Mus musculus: one gene and its partner. The protein of the gene in region 1 interacts with the protein of each later gene in a pairwise test. Links are inferred from orthologs where the notes say so. Each region holds a gene or a part of one and is shown in the gene's direction. Other genes may lie near its edges.

Region 1 (6,112 bases):
TTATACAGCAGCCATCTGGCTTCTAAAATCCATGGGCAGGCAAGCTTTCCCAGGTGGCTCTGATAATAATGTTTAAGGACTTAAAGAGAAGCCGGATAGGCTAACATGAAGCCCTTTGCTTTGGTCTGCACCCTTGATTTCCTCTGGGGCTTTCCAGAAGTAATGGTCCAATATTCTATTTGAAAAATCTAGGATGGCATTCTGGAAAGAAAGAATGAAAATTGGGGTGGGGGAACCAATCCCCAAACTACTATACATGTTTTAATTAGATGCTTATGTTGGGTTAGTTAAGTCTTCGAAAAATCAAAAGGCTCTGGGTCTCTCTCTCTCTCTCTCTCTCTCTCTCTCTCTCTCTCTCTCTCTCTCTCTCTCAACAGGGTTTTTCTGTGTAGCCCTGGCTTTCCTGTAACTAGCTCTGTAGAACAGGCTGCCTCTGCCTCCCAAGTGCTGGGACTAAAGGCATACAGCATTCCTGTGGCTGGGTTAATCCACTTTATGGTTACAATCCGGAGTGTTTCCCTTTTAGTGTTTAGTTAAGGCTAGCACTGAGAGAATTAAAGGTGGGTGCCCTTGCTGATCTCAGAAGGTCAGAAGGAGAATCATTTGATTTGTGTGATTTGCACATCTCAGTAGGAAGGGCAGCAAGAATGGTGAACAACGGGAGGGAAGGGAGGCTGCTCAGTCTGAAGGTCTTATTAAGATGGAGCATGACAGGGCTTGAGGGACATACTAGATTTGGTGAGAGACAGGGGGATATGGACTGAGGTGGGCATCAGAACAGGTGCAGGGCACACTTTTACAATGTGTCTGACCTAATGGGGGTTTTAGCCCAGTGCTTCGTTCCCTGGCCCGACTGAAGCCTACTATGACCTTGGAGGAGGGACTGCCGAGGGCTCTGCAGGAATGGGAGCGGACCAGCAACTTTGACCGGATGATCTTTTATGAGATGGCAGAGAAGTGAGTTTGATGAACCCTCATTCACCCTGCAGGGGTGGGGGAGTGGTCGAATACAGGGGTAGCGGAGATGGGGAGATGTCTGTAAGTGTCTGGTGCGGGAGGGGTGTAACAGAGCTTCAGCAAGGTAGCTTAGGTACCACAAGCCTGACAACCTGAGTTTGATCTTAGGACTCACATGGAGGAAGGAGAGAAGGGGTTCCCAGAGGCTGTCCTCTGAGGTCTATACATACACATTGTACACACACACATACACACATGATACAAATAAATAAATAAATAAATAAATGGAATACATTTTAAAATAGAATAAAGTAGTGCCACAGGGGGAGGGCTGTAGGCCAGATGAGGGTCTCCTGGACCCTTCCTGTTTCTACCACCTGAGCTCTGGGCTTACTCTATCCTGTCTGTTCTTGAAAGCTTCCTTGCCTCCAGGTCTTGAGCTGTATGTGGCTTTTATCTTGAAGGGGTTAGCATAGGATTGAACCCAGGGCCTCTAAAAATCCCATGCTGAGAGAACCTCACCATGAAGGCTCTTGAGCTCGCCAGATGGCACGTGGCTATTGATCTGGAACTTTACAAGCACTTTTCCTTTCATGGTTTGCTTTGTTTATGTTTTTAAAAATAGTACAGGAAACAGGTTCTCCCCCAATCCAGGGAGGGACCAAGTCTGGAAAAGGTTGGCGAGAAGAAACAGGGGACTCTGGGTATCCGGTATACCCAGAGTGGTCTCCTGATTCTTTATTCCCCATTTCGACAGGATAGCCATGTCTTAAAAAGTAACTTTGGTTGGCCGTGTTGTGAGTCAGCACACATGGCCCCAGGGCTGACATGGGAGTACTATTTGAGGCCAGGAGTTCAAAGCCAGCCTGGGCAACATAGTGAGAATCCTTAGCACAGCAACTGGGGAAGAAATCATTTCCTCCAAGTATATCTTTTTTTTTTCCCCTCTGTTACCCTTGAGGACCTGTTCCAGCCTTTGCACTCTGGTGGGCTCTGCTTCCGCCATCATTTTCAGTTGTAGAAAGGGGCAGATGAGGCCATCAGGAACAACCCTTTGGAGTGTCCCTCTAGACTGTTACATGGGCCATGCTTATATGGATTCACCAAGCTTATATAAAGTAGCAATTAATCAGGACACTGGGTGAGATTGATAGGCAGCAGAAGTAAAGGGTATCACTTTGTCCTGGAGAGTTATCCAAACTGTATACCACCAGTTTCCTTATTTAGCTTCTTGAATAACCACTGAAGGTGAAGGGACAATATAATGGCATTTCTCAGAACTGTCACTAGGCTACTACCTACCTGTGAGCAGCTTACCCTGACTGACCCAACTTCAACAGTATTGAGCCAAATGGAGGGTGCTTGGTTTCTTGGCCATGTGTGGATGCTGCCTGGCGTCTGTGTTACTGATGGACTGGGTTCTCCTTATTACAGACTGTACTTTTTTTTAAAAAAATGTGAATTGTTTTTCCATTTTATGTACCTTGGTGTTTTGCCTGCATGTATGTCTGTGTGAGAGTGTCAGATCTTACAGTTACAGACAATTGTGAGCTGCCATGTGCGTGCAGGGATTTGAATCACTGAGCCATCTCTCCAGCTCTGCCCAGTCTTTCTTTACCCTTGCAGGTTCATGGAGTTTGAGGCCGAGGAAGAAACACAGATACAGAATGCACAGTTGATGAATGGCTCCCCGGGTCTGTCCCCTATAGCCCCTTTGAAACTTGATCCTCCAGGGTCCATGGTCCCTGAGGCTTGCCAGCAGCCAGGTAAGGCCACCCGCAGTGCAGACGAGGATTAGGAAACTCTGCTTTTGCTTCTGTCTGTCTTTCCTGGGAGTGACATTGTTATAAGCCAAATGCAATGCCCCCTAGGAAGCTGGGGTGTTAGCTCCTTTTGTCTTGAATGAGCTATTGATCTTGGCCAAGTAAACTACTCTCTCATCTGGATTGTGCATGAGTCCTATCCTTTATCGGACATGGCGTTGGATCAGATGGTTTGTTGGGATGTCAAGGTGTGTGGAAAGATTTCTAACCGTGTTTTCTCTCACACCCCCTCCAGCTTTTTATGTTTTCTCCCCTAACACCTCAATCCCATTCTGGAACCCGAATTTCTTCCCTTCCAAGTATCACTGGGAAGTAGATACCAAGGCTCCTTCCCCACTCTCCACCTCTTCCCTCAGTGTACATCCCTAAGAAGGCAGCCTCTAAGACTCGGGCTCCTCGGCGGCGGCAACGCAAACCTCAAAGGCCTCCTGTTCCCGAGGCACCCAAAGAGATCCCACCTGAAGCTGTGCAAGAATATGTTGACATCATGGATGGGCTGATGGGAAGCTACGTGGACACTGGGAAGACAGAAGAGGAGGAGGAGGGGCAGCAGGAAGGTGCAGGGATGTATCCAGATCCAAGTCTTCTGAGCTACATTGATGAACTCTGTTCTCAGGAAGTCTTTGTCTCCAAGGTGAGCTAGGTCTACAATGGCTAATTTCTGGTATTTGGGGGCGAGGCACTATCAGGCATCAGCTCTCTGGGGTTCTGCATGTGGTAGGAGCCTCCATCCTATAATTTTGAATAGATATCTATGAGTTGGATACTGTGGGGCACCAGCCATCTGGGGTTCTGTGAAAGTCAGTAGGCTCCATTCTATAATTTGGAAATAGGTATACAGGTAGGTAGCTGATGGTAAGGACTACCACAAATTTTTGTAACAAACTCCAGCATTAAAGTTTGTCTCTATGGGCTATGGGCCTCATAGATTTGTCTCTAGAGCACCTGGGCTTACAGATCACTCCATATCAAGATTTACACCACTCTCCTTTCTGTTCCCCAGGTGGAGGCAGTCATACACCCTCAGTTTCTGGCAGATCTGCTGTCTCCAGAAGAGCAGAGAGATCCTTTGTCTTTACTTGAGGAACTAGAGCAAGAAGAAGGACTGAATCTTGCCCAGGTAAACTTGGGAGGCAAAGAACACAGGCAAAGGATCCTGGCTGATTTTGTATAACCCTTTGATATCTTGATACTGTTTGTGAGAGAATTTAGGTTTGGGCTTTGGGTCATATAAGGGCATAGAAATCAGCAGTTGAATAACACAAGGATAACCTTCACACAGTGCACAAAAGCATTATGCCTACAGTCTAAAGCAAGTAGGGAGGGAACGAGGAAAGGCTCACAGCTCTAACGCAGAGAGAGCTACAGTATCTATCTTTGACACCATCACTTAAAACACTTGCTTTTCTTCCCCACACTATCTACCATCTCCTATCACCCACTCAGCCACCTCTTCTCCTAACCATGTATAGAACTGGCATTTGTCCATTCCCTTCCAGCTGGTCCAGAAACGACTCTTGGCCTTGGAGGAGGAAGATGCACAGACACCTCCAAGTTGCAGCGGAGCTCAGTCAGACTCAAGTCCTTCTGTTTCTGATGAAGATGAAGACGGGGGTCAAAGGCGTCGGCCCTCACCTGGGCTTCAGGGGGCTGCGGGCATTGTTCGCATTGGAAAATCTGCTTCTCCAGGCAAGCAGGCAAGAGAAATACATGGTGGGCAGGAACAAACACTAGGTGGTCCAGCGGGGATTCACAAGGATGGAAATAATCTGCCATCCCCTAGCAGCTGGGATGTACAGCTAGAGCTCACAGCTTCACAGGGGATGCCAGTACTCTTGGGTATGGAGAGAAAAATGTCTGGGAAGGCTATAAAACAGCTATCTGCAACTCAGGATGGCCACCTGGGAAGGACTGGGTCCCCTGGGTACTACCCAGTAGCAGATAGGAATCCAGAGGTTTTACCTTGTTGTTGGCAAGAAGATCCCCAACACATGAGAGCCCCCAATTTTGATGTTGGACTTACAGAGCCAGTTCCTCTGCAAGGACTTGGGTTAGAAAAACAGGCTTTGACATTGCAGATAGGAAAGCGGATCGGGGGAGCTGGGATGCTTACTCGAGGAAGAGAACCACCTTCAGTGGTTTCCCAGAAGGGCTCTTCAAGGGCCGTGCGGGGAGATGACAGAGGTCCTGGTATGCTTCAGAGTTACAGTCAAAACCATTCCCCTGGAGCAGCTGGCAACCTAGACAGGGTTTCTCTCAGCCCAGGACTGTGGCTGAGCAGTGACATGGGTGCTGTAGGTTTAGAGCTTCCCTTACAAATTGAGACTGTCATAGACAGCATCCAAGATGAGGCATGCAGAAGAGAGGACCAGGCATTGAATTCTAGAAACAGTGCTTCTCTAGGTCCTAGAAAAAACACAGTGCCCAAGGATGTGGGGAACAGTGTGATTCCCTCTGGAGGCCCAGATACAACAGCTGTCCCAGAAAAGAGAAACCCCTGCAGCTTGCCAGGATCTTTGATGGCCAGTGGTCCAGGTTTGAGGTCCAAAGAAAAAATTTCCAAAGAAAATCAAGCGCTGAGCCCTAAAACCATACAGAATCCTAGTGATCTGTGGGCTGAAGCTTGCCCCCCACTGCTGCCAACACTTGTCTCTTCCACACTGGGGTCTTCCAAAGACACCCTGATACCCACATGCCAAGGCAATCTTCTTATCATTGGGACCCAGGATGCCTCCTCTCTTGCCCAGACTAGCCAAAAGGCAGAGAGCAGAGGTAATCTACTTTTTCCTCTGTTGGAAAACATAGATCAGGTCACCATACTAGATGTTAAAGATGACAGTTGCCCCCAACCAGGGGTCAGCAAGGATTCCTGCTTATCAAATTTTAATTCTTATAACCTCCAAGGAGAGGGCAGGGAAGATACTGTTTCCTCCAAACCCACCGACCTTGTTCCTTTACAAGACAATCAAGAATCCTATACACATGAGACAACCAAATTGACAAATGGCCAGGGCCAGGGAAGTACTTCCCCAAGGTGGGCAACCAGGGATGCTTATATTTTGAGAGAAACCCCTATTAAAGAAAAATGCACCTCAGCAGATAGAGCCAAAAGAAGAGAGACAGAGAAGGAGGAAGAAGACGAAGAGCTCTCCAACTTCTCCTACCTTTTGGCTTCAAAACTCAGCCTCTCTTCAGGAGGGCTTCCCCTTAGTACTCGTCAGGCCTCTGGAGGTCAGGGAATTGTGAAAACATCCCGCCACTCTACTGAAGTAGATGACCTTGGCCAGCCTTCACCCCCTCCCAAGTCTGGGAAGCAAGCCCTAGTTGGGAGT
Region 2 (6,112 bases), on another chromosome or scaffold:
CCAGTTCCTACAGCCGCTGGGAATCCCTCCAAAGTCTTTAGGGTAAGAAGCCATACAGAGGGGTTTCATCATAAGGGCCAAGATGGACTGATTAAAACTGTGTTCCTTGGGGCATGAGATGCGGTGGATGTTGGCTCACTGCTTAAGTCAACACAGGCTTGCCTCTAACCCGGCTTCCTTGATTCCTTTCTTTCCTGTAAGTTATCTACAGTGGCTAAAGTTTGAACCCAACCACAGGGTGACGATGTCAAGGTGACTTGCTGTCCCTACCTCCATCCAGTGGCAACAGGCTGACAGAAACGAGGAGGGGGAACATGCAGGCCGAAGGGTGTTTAATGATCAGCATTGCCTCTAGAGACTAAAAGTAACATTAGGATCTTGGGCTACTTTTTATTGCTGGAGTCAAGGTTTGATGGCAGCTCTCTCCTAAGACACAGAGAGAAGATCACAGTTTCAGAATTTTGAAAGGATCCATTTTGGAACAAAGTCTCTATTTGGAGATGAAATTACATTTACCTTCTAGGGGCAACACGTGCTCGAAGATAAAAACGAAAAATTTAGTGATCTAGAAGAAAACAGCATCTTTCATGTTTACTGACTAACAAATTCTTTTTTATAACTACTGACTTATATAGAATGTTATTAATATTCTAATATTTATTTGTCTGCTTGTAGCAGGATCAAACCCAGGGCCTTTCACATGTTAGCTAAGCAGTCTGCCACTGAGCTACATCTTCTGCCCCTAAAAACTAAAAAGAATTCTGTTCAGAGTTTGGGAAAATGAAACAAACAAACAAACAAACAAACAAACAAAATTTCTGTGTTTTAATTGCTTAAGTAATTTTTTTCTGAGGATTATGACCTCAGAGGAAACACAAGAGTGAATTATTCCCCCACTGTAATCATTTCTACGTTCTCCACTGAAAGTCCCCGATTGAGACGTGGTGACCCTCTACATGGTTTGGAAAATGAAGTTTTATTTTTCCACCTTACAGCTAAAAATAAAGTCAGGAAATACACACCTCCTGAGCTTTGTGACCGGTCACAAATGGGCTCCTGTATGTGGCCTTGCCTAGTGGAACTCTGGCTACAGAGCTCCACAGTCAGCCTTTTCTTGTTTGCTAGCCCCTAGCATGGGATATGTCTCACCTGATGTCTTTCCTGTAATGATTTTAGGGCACACTATATTTGATGGATGACAGTGAAAGTGGCCTTTTAGGGTGGGAAACAGTTTTTGTCAGCTGTACTCAGCTTGTTCTTTTCCAGCTTACAGCAATGTAAAAGAGCTCCCTGTGTGTCAGAGTAGACAGGGACTCTGGGCAGTTATGACAGGTAAGCCAGGAGAAAGGCAGACACTAGCAGACACTAGCCTGTCCCATGTATGTGGGGTTTGCTCTATCTCTGAGGATTATGTGGAGAAAAGGAGGCTAATGTGGGAACTAGCATTAGAATTTGTCATGTGATCTAATGTGTATGCAAGGTCAGCTTCGGGGAAAGACAAATATTGTAAGATATTTTCTCTCAAATCCTCTGAATGGCGTAAATGATAATACATAGTCATATTTGCATATGTGTGTGTATATATGTGTGTGTGCATCTCTGTATGTGCATGTGTGTGTGTAAGTGCCCACATGCACATGTCTGCAGAGCTGTTATTTCACATGGAAATCATGGCACATACAGTATGTTGCCATCGGAAGCACAAAGGGCCACATTAATGTGTATCATGGAAAATTCCAGTAGCTCATCCAATCTCTTTATTTTAGATTTAGATTTAGATTCTGCTCAGCTAGTGGCTTGTTGAACAGGACTTGGGAGTGTATTTATTACATCTCTGCGCTGCCTTCTGCAGTAGAACCCATCTGTGCCAGGGTGCCCTTCTGATGCTGAGTTGGATTCAAAATGGTGTTATTGCTAATTTTCCCTCCCTAGTCTGCAGACATATTCCCTTTACCTTCTTGTTTCTAGGGCATCTTTTAGTAGAAAGAAACCTCTTCAAAGTGTGAGAAAGAAGCAAGTGAGGGAGGTGAGCAGAAATGGAGACTTTGAGGAAAGGCACGCACTGAAGGAGTCAGGGAGGCAGCTTGCTCACTGCCTGCGCTTGCCTTTGTCTGCACAGCCAAGCACTCCAGGGAAACAGCTTCAGGTTCTGAATGCTTCTTTTCCCAAATGTTAATTGAAGGTGGATCTTCTAACCCAGGGTAAAATGAATTTGGTTCTAACCTAGCAGTGGCTATTGCTATGCCTGGCCCTAGGTGAATGGGCTTTCCTTTCTCTGATCTTGGGAGCCATGCAATGGTGGCACGTGGGGCACCTAACCTACTATTACCTCTGCCTTGTGATTAGATGTTGCAAGTGGAATGCATATAATTCTCTTCCCCCACCTCTTCCTCCTTTCTCTTCTCCCTTTTCCCTCCACACCCTGTCTTCCTTCTTCCCTCTCCCTTCTCCCTCTCTGTATAAAGTTGTCCCTCAGCATCTGTGGAGGCAATTCCCAAGATCCTTTGAAGAGATCAAATGTGAAGGATGCTCAAGCCCCGTTTATAAAATGCTGTAGTATTTTCCTGTAATGCATCCATAATCACTCTGCACCTTAATCTCTAAATCATTTATAATGACTAATACACTCTAAGTTCTATATAAATAAGTAAATAATTACATAATATTGTTTGGGAAATAATGACAAGCAAAAATGTCTGTCTATGTTTAGTATAGTTGCAATTTGTTTCTTTGAATACTTCCAGTCCTCTATTGGTTGAATTGATGCAGACCAGTTTGTGTGTGCATATATATGTATGCATACACACATATACATTTATATACGTATGCATGTGAGTGAGGCTATACACACCTTCATTATTTCTTTTTTTTTCCTTAAATTACAGTTGCAACTTTAATTCTCCTTTAGGACAGATTTATAATTATAGGAGAGATTATAAAGTAACACATTTATAATCAGATTATCATAAATTACCATAAGCTTAATTTTTATTGATAATTCCTATAATATTTTCTGATCACACTTCTCCCTCATCTCCTCCCAGGTCCTCCCGACACCTTCACCAATACAACTCTATATTTTCTTTCTTTCTCTCTTCGGAAAACAAGCAGGCAAACAAAACAGAATAAAAAAATAACTTAAAAATAAACAGTGAAGAAGTATAAGATACACACAGACAAATAAAACCTTTAAAATATAAAATTCAAATCACAATATAGAATCAAAAGACCAGTGAGATTTTAAAAAACAAACAAACAAACAAACAAACAAACAAACAAACAAAGTATCACGATACAAAAACCAATCTGTGAGAACACCTTTGAGTATGCTGTGTATTGGGCACTGGGCATCCTTTAAGTGTGGTTTGGACACCCAGTGAGAAGATTGATGTTTTTCCTTTGTAAGTGGTTGTCAGTTGGTGATAGCTTTGGGGTTAGAGATGGGAATTCAAGTCCACTCCCTCTCTCAGCACTGGATGCCATCTGACTTGGACCTGTGCAGGCTTGTGCTTTCAGTCAGAGTCTCTTGATTTCATGTGTGTGCCAGTCCTGTCGTATCTGGAAGACACTGTTTCCTTGATGTCACCCATCCCTTCTGGCTCTTACACTCTTTCTGCCTCTTCTCCCGTATCACTTCCTGAGCCCTGAGGAAAGGGTTTGATAAAGACATTCCATGTGTGGCTGAGTGTTCCCAGGTCTCTCACTCTACAGAATGTCTGCCTATGGGTCTCTGAATTAGTTCCTATCTGCTGTAGGTGGAAGATTCTCTGATGGTGGCTGAGCAAGACACTGATCTATGAGTGTGGCAGAATGGAGAACATTATTTCAAATTAGTCATCCCTAACTTGGGAATCATCTTACCCATGACAGGAATCAGGGGGTGATAAGGACCGAGATCAGCTCCGCCCAGATGGACACCATTCGATGGTTCAAAGAGGAACAGTTGCCATTCCGTGCAGGTTACCAGAAAAACTCAGACACCATTGCTCCTTGGTTCCATGGTGAGTACTGAGACCACTTCTATGGCAGACCAAACAGTGCTCACTTCAAGAACGACAAACGAACAGTAAGAGCTTTCTCTTCCCTTCTTCATTTGTGCTGCGCTAACAGTCTTTCAGTGTATTGCCACTGAGCCTTTTCTTAAAGGCTTTTCAGAGAGCTGTCTGCTGGTGCTTACTTAGAAAGCTGTCAGCATTCATGGCCACTGCAATGAAATGGGCTAATCATCCTTCACCACAAATACAATACTCCAGGGAGGGCGGGAAAGGCTTCCTAGGGACTCGGCGGACAGAGTGTGACTTCAGCACATGCTATTGTCTTCCTCCACTAGAACGTCAGTGGTTTGACAGACTGAGGCAGGGTTAGCAGGCAGAAGGCCAGCTAAGCACCAGCTCTTTCATATCCAGTTCAGTGACCTTGAAGAAGCAATGATCTCTTTCAATCGCTACTCAAACTACTAGAGCCCCAATTTTCTTATCTCTTAAAGGGGAAACTGAAGCTATTTTAAAATTCACTTTACATCCCCATCTTAGCCTCCTCCCTCCTTTTTCCCAGCCTCACCCTTCTAAATCCCCCCCACCCATTGAAGTGGATCCTCCCTTGGGTACCACCTCACCCTGGGGCATCTAGTCCCAACAAGCCTAGGCACATCTTCTCCCACGAGGCCCATCCAGGCAATCCAAGTAGGGAGAAGGAGATCCAATGGCAGGGAACAGAGGCTGCATAGCTCCTCCTGCCCCATTCCACTTGTTAGGCTAACCACCTGAATACCAAGGTGGTTTGCTACAGGTATGAGAGGTTTAGGTCCAGCTCCTGCATGATCCCTGGTTGGTCCTGTGGCTTTGATCCTGTTTTTCTGTTGCTCTAACAAGTCTGCAAGTCTACAAGTTCTTTGAGTCGTTGGACAGTATGAGCTGATGGTTTCAGCATTTGACTTAAGATATTTGTTTAATTAAGGCTACTCTGTTGCCCTAGGTCATATCCCCTGACTGCTTCAGTTCAAGAGCAATCAGATATTTAAGACCAGTGGACAGGGACCTGGAGTACAGCTCTGACTCAGTTAGTCACCCATAATGTACAAAGTGATCAGTTCTAACCCCGACCCAGAAAATAAAAGAAGGCATTATGTGTGCTTGGACTGGACTTATTACCTAAGTGTTTATTCAAGGCAATCTCTCCCACTTCACACATAGAGTGTCTTGGTTTGAACTGTGTGTAAGGCATCTTACTGTTTAGTAGTATTATTTCATATATAAATAGACCACAAAAAATAAGTTTCCAAACACCCAGCAAGAGCAACCACTTCAAAAACCCTGGCCCGTCTATGATATCTTTTCCCTGATAGCTGCTTTAGTAGCCCGTGTCTCAGCAGAACTGCCAGGTGTCCTTGAACCTGTGCTTTGACTTTGGTTTCATTGACTCCTAGAGATGCCCCATGCTCTTGTGAGTAAGGTCCCTCTGTGGTGTGGTGATGTTGTCAGAGACTAACAGAACTCTGCTGATTCTGTATGCCTTCAGCATAGCCACCTCTGCTGTCTGCTGACCCCACCCCACCCCCATTTCCTTTTAAGATAAGCACAGGAAATCAGCCTTTGTAGTTCCTGTGTCCTTGAGCAGTTGCTGTGTGCTGTTGTCCCTGATTATGAGAGCAGTCACATTTTCATTTCTGTCTTTTGGTTTTTTTTTTTAAACAGCAGGGTATGAAAATTGGAAGTGTTAGCTGATGTCATTAAGAATTCTGATATGTCAACTGGCAGTTCTGTCTGAAAGAGTTGTGTAAAGCCAGAGGACATGGCACAGCTAAAAATCCAGTGGGAGCTTTGCCTAGAAAACACAAATGTGCTGTGTTACACATAATATTTTATAAATATGATATCATTGTTGATTCATTCTTATACAAATATTTATCATAGTTATAAGCAAATAAATAATACAATAAATAAATAATGTGATAATAAATATGCATGTCAGGAGGCCGACATAAATCCTTGGCTTCCATTTTAGGAAGACAGAATTTCACATTCCTGCAATGGAGACAGGGCGGTTCACACTTTGTCTCTCTGAAATGCAGCTGATTGTGTGTTTACTGGTCAGTACTACAGAAAATGGCCTC

Evidence for each region.
Region 2: the proteins of Nutm1 (region 1) and Sh2d4a interact in binary tests that used the Homo sapiens proteins (3 or more experiments, as listed by UniProt). The two-hybrid records come from large-scale screens. The link is inferred for Mus musculus from reciprocal best matches to the Homo sapiens genes NUTM1 and SH2D4A.

The regions. Positions count from the first base shown.
Region 1 is NC_000068.7:112,248,347-112,254,458, reverse strand, and holds part of Nutm1 (NUT family member 1), read left to right. Parts: intron 1-828; coding exon 829-957; intron 958-2,583; coding exon 2,584-2,723; intron 2,724-3,136; coding exon 3,137-3,414; intron 3,415-3,783; coding exon 3,784-3,900; intron 3,901-4,279; coding exon 4,280-6,112. UniProt on the Homo sapiens protein: Plays a role in the regulation of proliferation. Regulates TERT expression by modulating SP1 binding to TERT promoter binding sites.
Region 2 is NC_000074.6:68,331,195-68,337,306, forward strand, and holds part of Sh2d4a (SH2 domain-containing protein 4A), read left to right. Parts: coding exon 1-42; intron 43-3,870; coding exon 3,871-4,001; intron 4,002-6,112. UniProt on the Homo sapiens protein: Inhibits estrogen-induced cell proliferation by competing with PLCG for binding to ESR1, blocking the effect of estrogen on PLCG and repressing estrogen-induced proliferation. May play a role in T-cell development and function.